3 linked regions of the Elephas maximus indicus genome follow. The protein of the gene in region 1 interacts with the protein of each later gene in a pairwise test. Links are inferred from orthologs where the notes say so. Each region holds a gene or a part of one and is shown on either strand. Other genes may lie near its edges.

The links.
Region 2: the proteins of CDR2 (region 1) and FAM161A interact in binary tests that used the Homo sapiens proteins (3 or more experiments, as listed by UniProt). The two-hybrid records come from large-scale screens. The link is inferred for Elephas maximus indicus from reciprocal best matches to the Homo sapiens genes CDR2 and FAM161A.
Region 3: the proteins of CDR2 (region 1) and ENKD1 interact in binary tests that used the Homo sapiens proteins (3 or more experiments, as listed by UniProt). The two-hybrid records come from large-scale screens. The link is inferred for Elephas maximus indicus from reciprocal best matches to the Homo sapiens genes CDR2 and ENKD1.

The regions. Positions count from the first base shown.
Region 1 is NC_064830.1:82,439,974-82,443,718, reverse strand, and holds the start of CDR2 (cerebellar degeneration-related protein 2), read left to right. Parts: upstream 1-1,580; 5' UTR 1,581-1,854; coding exon 1,855-1,933; intron 1,934-3,745.
Region 2 is NC_064844.1:481,866-485,610, forward strand, and holds the start of FAM161A (protein FAM161A), read left to right. Parts: upstream 1-1,522; 5' UTR 1,523-1,632; coding exon 1,633-1,815; intron 1,816-3,745. UniProt on the Homo sapiens protein: Involved in ciliogenesis.
Region 3 is NC_064839.1:34,136,364-34,140,108, reverse strand, and holds the start of ENKD1 (enkurin domain-containing protein 1), read left to right. Parts: upstream 1-1,048; 5' UTR 1,049-1,062; exon of another isoform or gene 1,063-2,460; coding exon of another isoform or gene 2,461-2,870; exon of another isoform or gene 2,871-2,974; coding exon of another isoform or gene 2,975-3,187; exon of another isoform or gene 3,188-3,531; coding exon of another isoform or gene 3,532-3,745. UniProt on the Homo sapiens protein: Microtubule-binding protein which regulates microtubule organization and stability. Promotes the stability of astral microtubules and facilitates the proper orientation of the mitotic spindle.

The sequences.
Region 1 (3,745 bases):
CTCTTAGACAGTCATAGCATCAGCGTGAGATTACACTATGTGAGCAAAGATAGGAAGGTGGAGAGACACAGTAAATTTTAATACCCACAAGAATATTTAGGGTGGGTTTTTGTCCTCATTGAAATTACTGAAGTCTTTATTCATTTGTATAGGACAACAACATAGTTTGAGAATCTTTAACTCCTTCCGCGTAATTTCCCTTATTTTTTAACCACAGTAAAGTGTGCACAGTGACCCTGTAGTACAGGGTATCACTGCCCCATAGGGTTTCCAAGGAGCGACTGGTGGATTCGAACTACCAACCTTTTGGTTAGCAGCCAAGCTGTTAGCAAAGCACCAGCGCGCTCAAGAAAATCCTGTGAAGCCCTTCTCTCTGTAACACGTGGGATTGCCATGAGTCAGAATCAACCGTACGGCAATGGGCTTGGTTTTTTGGGTTTAAGTTCTTCTAGAGATAATCTTTGAATAAAACACTTAAACCTCAATTTTTGTTCCATAAACATAAGATAGTATGTTGACTTCCATTCTGTCAGACGCTGTCTTTCCCTCCTTCTTTCAACTGTGCCTTTTACTTTTACATTAAGGTTGATGAACACTGACTTTCTGGTCTGTCACCCTATATATGTATGGGCTTCTGTTCTTTCTCTACATGATGATGCTAACAGCCGAAAACCCCTGTGCAGCACTTGCTTGTTACAGCATGTCTGTGTGAACAGCGTCCACGCCCTGCCAGCATACTAGTGCTAGGGCTGCATTCTCTCCCCTCCTGGTGCAATGTCATGACCTCAGATGCTTAACTAGTGGTCTACTAACCTTTTATATTCATATGCAAACTGTAATTTTTTTTTTTTTTTTCCTAAGGAGATAGCTCCAACGGCACCTCTTTGCCCAGTAGATTCTCAAGTGGTGCTGGGACGTACTGCTTTACAGGGAGCCAGTAAAATTCCCAGCGGTGTGGGGATGAGTACACAGACGTTAAGGGAAAAAACAGCTAACACTCCGAGGGTATCTTCCTCGGCCTCAAATTCCCGATTGACTCTTAATTTCCCCGCACCAGCGAGGGCAAACCTGGGAGACAAAAGACAAGAACGGGCAGGCCAGGCAGGGACCTGGGGCTCCCGGCCCCCTTCGCGCCTCCCGCCTGCATGAAGACAGCGCCAGACCACCGCCCACTGCTCAGTGCCCAAACTCCTCGCCCTCATGCCCAAGCAGCCTGCCAGCACCCTTCGGCCGCCGCGTCCACTGGCTGACTGGCCGGCCGGACGCACACACAGGAGCAGCCGCCCCAACCCCTCCAGGGACCCAACTACTCCCAGAAGCTCCACTACGCAGAGTGGCGGGCGGGGCATCTCGGCCGCACCCCTTCTCTTTTTCCCGCCTTCTTTGTTTCTTCCGAAGGCGCCATTGGCTGTTTGCCCTTGAGACCGGTCGAGCCGCGGGCAATTGGTGAGACCCGATTGGACTAACTCGCCGCCGCTCGACCGGCTGCCAGCTTGCGATTGGCCGAGGCGCCGCCTGGGGTTTGAATCGCAGCCCCGGTCGGGGAGGGTTCTGCCAAAGTGCCACGTTGGGCTCGGCTGCGGCGCTGCGAGCCGGCTGGGGCGCCAGCCGGGGCCCCCGCTCGCGCCGGGGCGCCGGCCGTTGGGGCCACGGGGCGGTGCAGGCCAGCCGAGAAGCCCATCCGAGGCGTACGCTGCAGGCCGGCGGGTGGCTCTGTTCCGGCGGCGCGGCGGGGCCGGGGCGGCGGCGGGTCCCGCCCGCCGGAGGGCGGCTCTGGCTGAGGGCGGAGGGCCCGGGGCAGCGGCTGAGGCGGGACGGCGGCGGGGACCGCTGCCCCCGGAAGACGCGGCCGAGATGCTGGCGGAGAACCTGGTGGAGGAGTTCGAGCTGAAGGAGGATGAGCCGTGGTACGACCATCGGGACCTGCAGCAAGGTGAGGGCGAGGTCGCCGCGGGTGCGCGGGTGCGCGGGCGGGCGGTGGTCTGGCGGGGGGCGCTCGCCCCGCGGCGCCGAGGGCTGGGAGGCTCGCGGCTTCTCCCGGCTGCGAAGCTGTGACAGAGTTGCCTAGGTGGCGGCAGGGTTCGCGCTCGCCTTGCGTGGAGTCCGGGGGTTCCCGCGCAGCGCGCGGGAGGACGCCTGTGCGAGGGACCCACGGCCGGGCTTTTTGCGCAGTGATAATAGGAATAATCACTAATAGTGCCGCTGAGTGCGCTGTATGCCTCATGCGCAGTTTAAAGCGCTCTCCATGGATTAATTCGTTTAATCCTCCCCGCAGTCCTCGGAGACAGAAAGCGGCACAGAAAAATGTGCCACCCACCTTTTCCAGGCTCCTTACTTCCTGCGGCCCCTGTCTAGGGGTAATAGTCACGCGTCTAGTGACCAGTGCTGAGTGTCAGCTGCTGCAGTTAGTGGTGGGACCACCCTGTGGCAGGAACGGTGGCAAGCCTTCTGCAGACATGCTCTCGTTTAGTTCACACTGTAACTCTACGAGGCAGGAACTTTTGTTACTCCCATTTTCTAGATGAGGAAAACAGAGGCCAAAACAGTTAAGTGCCTTGCCTACAGTAGTGCAGGAGTGTTTTTGAACCCATGCGCTCAGAAGTCGTAGTCATTGCCCAAACCCTATCCCTCTGTCTTACCACCCAGTTTACTTTTTTTTTCTGTTGGGTGTTAATTTTTTTTTAAATGTTTATTTATAGCTCACCAGATACCAAATGAAGTGACTGAAATGTGAAATGGCAGGCACCTTTTTTTTTTTTAACTTCACCTACTTTTTCAATTTGCCGTTCAGCTTTCAGTTAAAAACACATTCCTGTTTGGCCTGCGCTGGATTTCTTGCTGATGCTGCCTCGGGAGAGCAACCTTAGAGCAGCCCTCAATTTGGAGCCAGTGGCCCTTTTTGGCATAATTACTAAGGAGCTGTCAATTGGGAGAATACTTACATGTGTCGGGCACTGGCAAACCCTTAACATACATGCTCACTTAATCCTCCCCAAAACACTATGGAGGTAGAGGTAGAAGTAGACACTGTTATTTGGGGAGCTAGAATTTCATTTCACATTCCAGAGAAAACATTCTTAACGCCTATACTGAGTGGTGCAGTGGTTAAGCACCTTAGGCTGCTAACCAGAAGGTCAAAGGTGGGAATCCACCAGCGGCTCTGCAGGAGAAAGAGGTGGCAGTCAGCTTCTGTAAAGATTAACAGCCTTGGAAACCCAGTGGGGCAGTTCTACCCTGCCCTGTAGGGTTGCTATGAGTCGGAATCAACTCGATAGCAACAAGTCTTTTTTTTTTAATACTGAATAATCCTCAGGAGTTTTTTTCCAGACATCTTCTGTTTCTACAATTCAGTATAAACCCATTTTTTCAGCTCTAAACTACAGTGAAAATTATTTAGTTAATATTAAATGATCATGATGCCTTTTCATGGTAACCATTGAACTTGAGGGGAAAAAAAGAAATGTAGATTTGAAGGACTCATACTTAAAAGAAGAAAATAAAACAAGCATGTCTTCTTTGGGAATGTGATTTCTAAAATCAATATGCTGTGAACAATCACTTAAACCAGAGTAGTTCAACATTACTCTTACACAGTATAACCAAACCTGTTGCCATTGAGTCAACTCCAACTCATAGCGACCCTACAGGACAGAGTGGAACTGCCCCATAGGGCTTCCAAGGCTGTCACCTTTAGGGAAGCAGACTGTCACATCTTTCTCCCCCATAGAGCGGCTGGTGGGTTTGA
Region 2 (3,745 bases), on another chromosome or scaffold:
TCCTCGGAAACGGGTTCGAGACCAAGCGCCCTGCACAACCGAGGAAATGCCAGAGCTCCAAGGCGCTGACAGCCGTTTAGGGCCGGTGATAGAGGAGGCTAAAGAATGGGGCTGGGAAGTAGGGGCTTGGGTAGCGGGTGGCTGAGGCTCTGCCAGGCCCCAATGTGGAGGGCACGGCCTTTTACAGCCTCGTGGCGCACAGGGAAGTCGCTGCTTGACGCACACCAACCCGGGTGGGAGGAGTTGGGTGGGTTGGGTTGTCAGGTGGGTGGGGTTGTCGGGTGGGAGGAGTTGTTGAGTGTGGGAGGTGTTGTCGGGTGGGAGGAGTTGGGTGGGTTGGGTTGTCAGGTGGGTGGGGTTGTCGAGTGGGAGGAGGGGTTGGGTGGGTGGGGTTGCCGGGTGGGTGGGGTTGTCGGGTGGGAGGAGTTGTCGGGTGTGTGAGCAGACGGGGTGTGTGTGTAGTCGCTGCCGGGCACCCGCGCCTGTCGGGTGTGTGAGGAGACGGGGTGTGTGTGTGTGGTCGCTGCCGGGCACCCGCGCCTGTCGGGTGTGAGGAGACGGGGTGTGTGTGGTCGCTGCCGGGCACCCGCGCCTGTCGGGTGTGTGAGGAGACGGGGTGTGTGTGTGTGGTCGCTGCCGGGCACCCGCGCCTGTCGGGTGTGAGGAGACGGGGTGTGTGTGGTCGCTGCCGGGCACCCGCGCCTGTCGGGTGTGTGAGGAGACGGGGTGTGTGTGTGTGTGGTCTCTGCCGGGCACCCGCGCCTTCAGCCCCGCGGGAGCTCGGCGGCTGGGTGGCGTTGTCGGGTGTGTGAGGAGACGGGGTGTGTGTGTGTGTGGTCGCTGCCGGGCACCCGCCCCTTCAGCCCCGCCTGAGCTCGGCGGCTGGGTGGCGTTGTCGGGTGTGGGTGCAGACGGGGTGTGTGTGTGTGGTCGCTGCCGGGCACCCGCCCCTTCAACCCCGCGGGAGCTCACCGGCTGACGGCGGGCTCGCACAGCCACCATGCCTGTCACTCGTTGGTGGGCGGGCCAGGCACCGCCCACACTAGGCTTTTATTGGTCACTCATGAGCGGGCCAGCTAGCGGCCTCCTTCTGATTGGCCAGCTGCTGGTAGCGGTCAAGTCAATCAGAAGAGGACTTACGGCGCTCGTTGGGCTCCTCCGGCTCCCGGCGGAGCTGCGTGAGGTAGCCGCGGGGCCGACCTGGCTACCGTTCCGAAACAGCGGCCCTGCTCTACTCCTGCACCGCTGTCATCCCCTCCTAACACATTATTTCAATTAATAACAATAAAAATGCGCTGTTTCTTCACAAAACGAGTTGCTTCGCTAGCAGGATGCGAGCAGTGTGCATTCAAGCGGCGAGACGCCCGGAGGGGAGGCGGCGGCCTGTTCCTCCCGCTGACCTTCTGACCCGCTCAGCAGAACCAGCACCTACTCTCGCCGGCAGGCGGCGCGCCCGCGTCTCCCGGCGCGCGGCTGCTTTCCGTGAATTCTGGCCCCCCGCGGCCCCCGTAGCGTCTCTGATTACCGCGCCCCTGGTAACCGCCTGCCGCGAGCGAGCCGCCGGGGGCCGGGGGCCACACCAGCTTCCCCGTCCCGGGCCGGCGCGGGCGCTGAGGCCTTGGCGGGGCGGCGATGGACGCCTCGCATGAAGCGGCGGGGCTGGCGGCCTCCAGCCACCAAACCCCGATAAACCCCAACAGCGGGGTGCGGGTCGCCCGGTACAGAAGGGAAGACCTCATAGAGGCCCTGGCGGCGGCGGCGGCGGCCTTGGAGGAGGCGGAGCAGGAGAAGACGGTGCCGTCGGCGCGGGCGTCGGTACTGCGGGCTGGGTGCAGGGCGGGACGTGGGCTGGGTGCGGGCTGGGTGCGGGGCGGGACACGGGCTGGGGGCGAGGAAGGTGCGGGGCGGGACGCGGGCTCGGTGTGGGGCTGGACGCTGGCTGGCTGCGAGGAAGGTGCGGAGCGAGACGCTGGCTGGGTGCGGGCTCGGGCTGGTGTGGGTCCCCTTCCAGCTTAGGGACAGGCTGGGAAATGCGCTCCCCTGTCTAGATCTTCCTGGAAGGTAATTCTCTGCCCAGTGATCCTGGCCCACAACCTTCTCTCAGCCCCCACGAAAAACACCCAAAACCGAGGCTTCCAAAAAGTCTTTTAATTTTCACCAAAGAGGTTGCAGTAAAAGTTTCTAGAAATTATTTCTAGAAAGAGCAAAGCACAGAACTTTCCTCCTTATGCTTTGGTGTTCCTTGGGAACGGATACAGTATTTCCTTTAAAAAAAAGAATTTGAAACCTGTGTTAGTCATTTAGTGCTGCTGTAATAGAAATACCACAAGTGGATGGCTTTAACAAAGAGTTTATTCTCTCACAGTCCAGTAGGGTAGAAGGTCCTTGTCCTCAGTCTCCCCATGGTCGGGGAACTTCTCAGGCGCAGGGACCTGGTGTCCAAAAGAGGCGCTCTGCTGGTGCTGCTTTCTTGGTGGTATGAGGTCCCCAACTCTCTGCTTGCTTCTCTTTTCTCTTGAGAGATAAAAGGTGGTGCAGGCCCCACCCCAGGGGAACTCCCTTTACATTAGATCAGGGATGTGACTTGGTAAGGGTGTTACAATCCCACTCTAATCTTTTTAACATAATATTATAATCACAAAATGGAGGAGCACCACAGAATACTGGGAGTCATGGCCTAACCAAGTTGATACATACGTTTTGGGGGGAACATAATTCAATCCGTGACACTGATCTCCTCCCATGAAATTGAGTTGATGACCCATGAAAACTTAAGTGAATCAGCTAAGCTCTCAAGTGTGTTTGGTGGATCTTAAACACACTACTTTAGAGGCAGGAGTTTAAATCATCAAGAATTTAGTGGATAGACCAGACACAGATATAGATAAGACCAGAGAAATAAATTACTGAGGTGCCAGTGTTTCCTAAATGGCCTTCTGGATGGAGCAAGACAGCCTTTTCACTGATCAGTTTTCACTGTCACATGTGTCATGGACACCTGTCCACCAGGTGGAGGGCAGAGTCTGCCATCTGCTCTCTTCACTTAAAAGATGAGAACCTTGCAGATATAAAACTCTCCACCAGATAAATCCTTTTAATACTATATGTCTAAAGCTTCTCACACAAAAAACATTTTGGTGTAGGGCTGTTAGAAATCACTGGATACTTGGAATTCTGATGTCTTTACACTACAGCTGTTAATAAGAAATCTGTAGCAGCACCTTTTATGTTCAGTATTTCACCAACAGACATAAACTGCTTGAGGCTGTCCAGAGTTGGGCAGATCGAGACCCAGCACAGGATCAGAACACTAGGACCATATTTGCTCATGATAAAGCTTCCAGTCAACACAAGTTGCAGTAGGCAAGCAAGGGAATAGAGGAAGAAGACTAAATGGAGGACAAAGCTTTGGAGTTCTGGATTAGAGTTTGGGCTCTATCTCTTGCTAGATGATGCTAGGACTTAACTTCCTTAAGTCTCAGTTGCCTTATCTGTAAAAAGGACTAGTGTAATAATTCTCTCTCTCTCCTGTCTCAGTGACTGAGAACCAAATGAGAGAATGTGTGTCATATCTAAAGACATGCTTATATAAATTGGCAATCATAATAGCAACTACCCATGGGACTGTCATTGCAGTGACTCACCCAAAGATGAAATTTTGTTTTGGCTTTCTGTGGTAGAGGAGCTAGTCATTTCTCTGGCTGCACTTATACTTCCAGAGTGTCCTGATAAACTGTAAATTTGT
Region 3 (3,745 bases), on another chromosome or scaffold:
GGCGGCCCTGGCCACTGCCCTGCTCTTGTCACTGTGGCCCTCATGGCCAAGTCCTAAGATTCCTCCAAACAAACGTCTTTCTTCAGAGAGCAGGACTCAAGACTCCCTGAGGAGGCCCTGTGAGGCCCACAGTTACAGGGAGACAATTTGGGGTCAGGAGGGAGTTCTGTTCTTCAAATCCTGGAGTTGGCACCAAGGGAATCTCAAAAGAGAGGAGGTGAGGAGTACTTCCAGAGAAGCTGGAGGGAATGGGCTGGAAGAGGAAGGGCTCCATGCATTGGCCCTTGGAGTGGTTTAGCTGAAAGCTGCCTGGGCCAGCCAGCTAGTTAACCAGCCAGCCTTTTATGAACTGTGTTCTACACAGGGATAGTCATTTTTACCATGTAAGTCAGAGGTGGGGTGAGTATTGGGAGAAGGTCCTTCAATCCCTTTTGTTCTCTTGTCTCGCTTTGACAGCCTGCCAGGATTGTTAAGCCTGGACCAATCTCTGTTCCCTTCTCTAACCTTCCCTCTCTGCTCTGCCCTGGCTCCTTGCCAGAAAGGCTTAGGAGGGCTTCCTTTTCCTTTTGGCACCCCTTATAGAAGTCACCAGGCTTGTTTTCCTGTATTGTCCTGGTTGCAAATTATTATCCTTTTGAGATAAAACAATGAGTAGTGTTGGACTGTGTTCACTGCATGCTGGGCCCTCCCAGGGTAGACACTTCATGTACTTTATTTTAATCTCTAAACAACTCTATGAGGTAGTATTATTAATATTCCCATTGTTCAGATCAGAAAATTGAGGCACAGAAAGCCAAAACTACTTGCATTGTATAAGCTATAAGTGATGAAGCCAAGACCCAGTCAGGACCAGTCAGAGCCTAACCCTGAACTACCCATTTCTCCAGCACTGGTGAATTCTCAGACTCTTGACTGCACATATGTTGCTGCCCCCACTCCCACTGGGGTATTCAGCCAGATTGTTGCCTTCTCCCTATAGCTGGAGTCAGCCTGGCCTGAGCTAGGAGGTGGACTGCAGAGACCCCACTGCCAGGCAAGATGCTGACAGTGAAGAGTTAAAGAGTGAGTGTCTACCCACCCTGCTCCTGGGAATGATGGTCACAGCTCCAGGTCTGTCCCCTGGTGTCCTACTAGGTCCCTCCTAAATTTGGGGATTTACCCAGAAAACAGATATCCATTGGGCCTGACTCAGATGCTTCTGCACAAGAAAGTGCCATGTTGTTGACTCAGAATGGCACTTAAGTTTTTAGAGGAATCTGCCGCCAGCTCTTTGTTTACCAAGGCAGATTTCTAGATGCCCTGGGGCCACTTTTATGAGCACCCCTGGTTCTCTGGAAACACCCCCAGAACCTAGATCCATGACCAGAGGAGTAGGAGGTGGGCTTTGAAATGGCGCACATGCGTGCCTGTGGCCAAGGAAGCCAGCAGGGTTCTGGTCCCTAGGGGTGACTGAGCCTGCAACTGTGGTTCCAGGCTTGTCCTGCAGTGGCCCCTACTGGAGGAAGGTGGCATCACCACCTCCCAGAACCTATTTCCCAAATCAGGATGTCAGCCAACTCTTCCTCTGGTCAAAGTAAACAAGGTTTTACCAGGCCAGTGAAAATACGTTGAACCTCTTAGAGTTTTCTCTCGGAGCAGCAACCAGGTGAGCGCTTCCAAAATACTTGTTGCTTACTATCCAACTCCAAACCAAATCTAGGCCTTGTACTCACCTAGACAATCACAGCCTCCTCACCTCCCTGTCCCCAGTAACTTCCTCCTCATTCTGTCCTTCACACTGAAGCCCAAGCAATCTCTCCAGAATGTCAGGCTGAGATCCTTCCTTGCCTATACCACTTCCTGCCAGGAAAAAGGCATGGACACTGCTGTCACCAGAGGCCACTCCTTGGGCAAGGTCTGTTCCAGTTGTGGCCTGGCAACAAATGGAAAGTGTTCCAAAGTCTGCCACTCTTCAGACAGTCATATGAACTGTGCCACCTCAGAGGGGGGTTCCTAAGTGCTGGTCCACAAATGCAAGTCAGACCAAATACAGGTCACCTCCCTGGGAGACAGGGAACAAGGGCAAGTCCCTATTTCCTGTGGCCTCACAGACCCTTTCTCTGCTCCAAGTCCCTCCTTAGTCACTTCCCCCTTGATCCCTCACTGTCAGCCTGAGGAGCTTTTAACTGCATAGAATCCAGGCCCCACCCCTCAGATTCTGATTCAGTGAGATCTGGGGTGGTGCCCAGGAATCTATTTTTGTCAAGTTCCCAAGTATTCAGATGATCCGTTGGGCTTTAAACCAGGCACTGGGTAATCTCGCAGTCTCAGAAAATGAAAAAATGTTTATTGTCAGCAAGCCCAAGTTTCCAGCAAGTGGGGGCATGGGCCAATTCTACCTTCCACCTGAGGGCCTAGGCCCAGAGGCTGCTGCTCTGGTTCAGGCTTGGGGGGAGGGGAGCCACCAGTGGGGCAGGACAGTCACTTGTACTGAGGAGAGAGCGGGGGCACAAGCGGAGCAGCACAAACACTCAGCATCTTGTTGATGTCCACCTGGTTTGATTTATCCACCTCGGCCGTGAGCCGGCTGCTGACCCCCAAGCTGGGCAGACCCCCAGGTTCCTCTCCAGCCTCCTCTGCCAGGGGATCCAGAATGTGGGTGGGAGGCACTAACATTTTGGGGCAGGGAAAAGCAAGGTCTAAGCCCAGCTCACCTGCCACGGGCGGCAAGGCCTGCAGTTGCTCCACACCCGCCTCCATGGGGACCAGGGCCAGCTCCGACTGGGGCTCCACCTCGGCCTCTGCCTCCCTACCCCCTTCCCCTGCCTGGTTCAGCTCAGGGTTGCAATAGTTGATGTACTGGTACAGGGGTCGAAGGCGCTGGGCCTTTCCTGAAAAGACCCAGGATAGGGCAGGGCTGGAGCACCAGGCTGTGCCATGTTTTAGGGGGACCAGCAGGCAGGGGAGAAAGGGGAGGCCCAGGGCTGCCACTCACGCTCTAGCCCCAAGGTCTCTGAGGAGGCAGACACGGTGCTAACTGTAGCTGGGAGTGCGGGGGCCCCCAGACTCTTGCGCTTCTTAGGTTTTTTGTGCTGTTTGGAGGATGGTGAGTGCTCGCTACCTTCTGGCTCCCCCTTCTGCAGCAGCAGACCCAATGGCAGCTCAGCTTCGGCCCTAGGATGGGCATGGTGACTAGCCCCTGGGGAGGCTGGGGGACCACAGCCATGGACGGGAAGCCTGAGGAGCCAGCCTGTGCCCCGTGCCTAGGGGATAGCCCTGCCTGCCCACCACCCAGGCCAGATACCTACCACTTTCCTGGTCAGTGAGGGCCCCCAGGCCAGCAGGGGCCCAGAGCATATGAGCTCAGTCCCCTCCAAGACCTTCAGGCTCCCTCTCTCTGGGTGCTCTCTAACAGGACTCTTGAGGGACAAAAGAGGTGGGAAGTGATGGTGGTGGCAGGGGATAAGGGTCTGCCCTACAGGAGTGCAGGCTTTAGGAATGCTGGGGTGTGAGCCCCACTTCCCATCCCTGCAGCCCCTTCCCTCTGAAAGCCCCCTTACTTGACTGGCTTTCTCTTCAGACCATGACTGGGCCTCACAATGGAAGCTAGGGGTCTGGGGCCTGTCTCCTCTATAGCATCCACGGCTGGCTTGAGCCTCTCCTCCTGGAGCACTGGTTCTGAGGCTGGTTCTGTTCGGCACTTATCTTCACCCTGGGTCTGGCAGGTTTCAAGGGCTGGCACTAGACATTGGTCTCCTGTCACTGG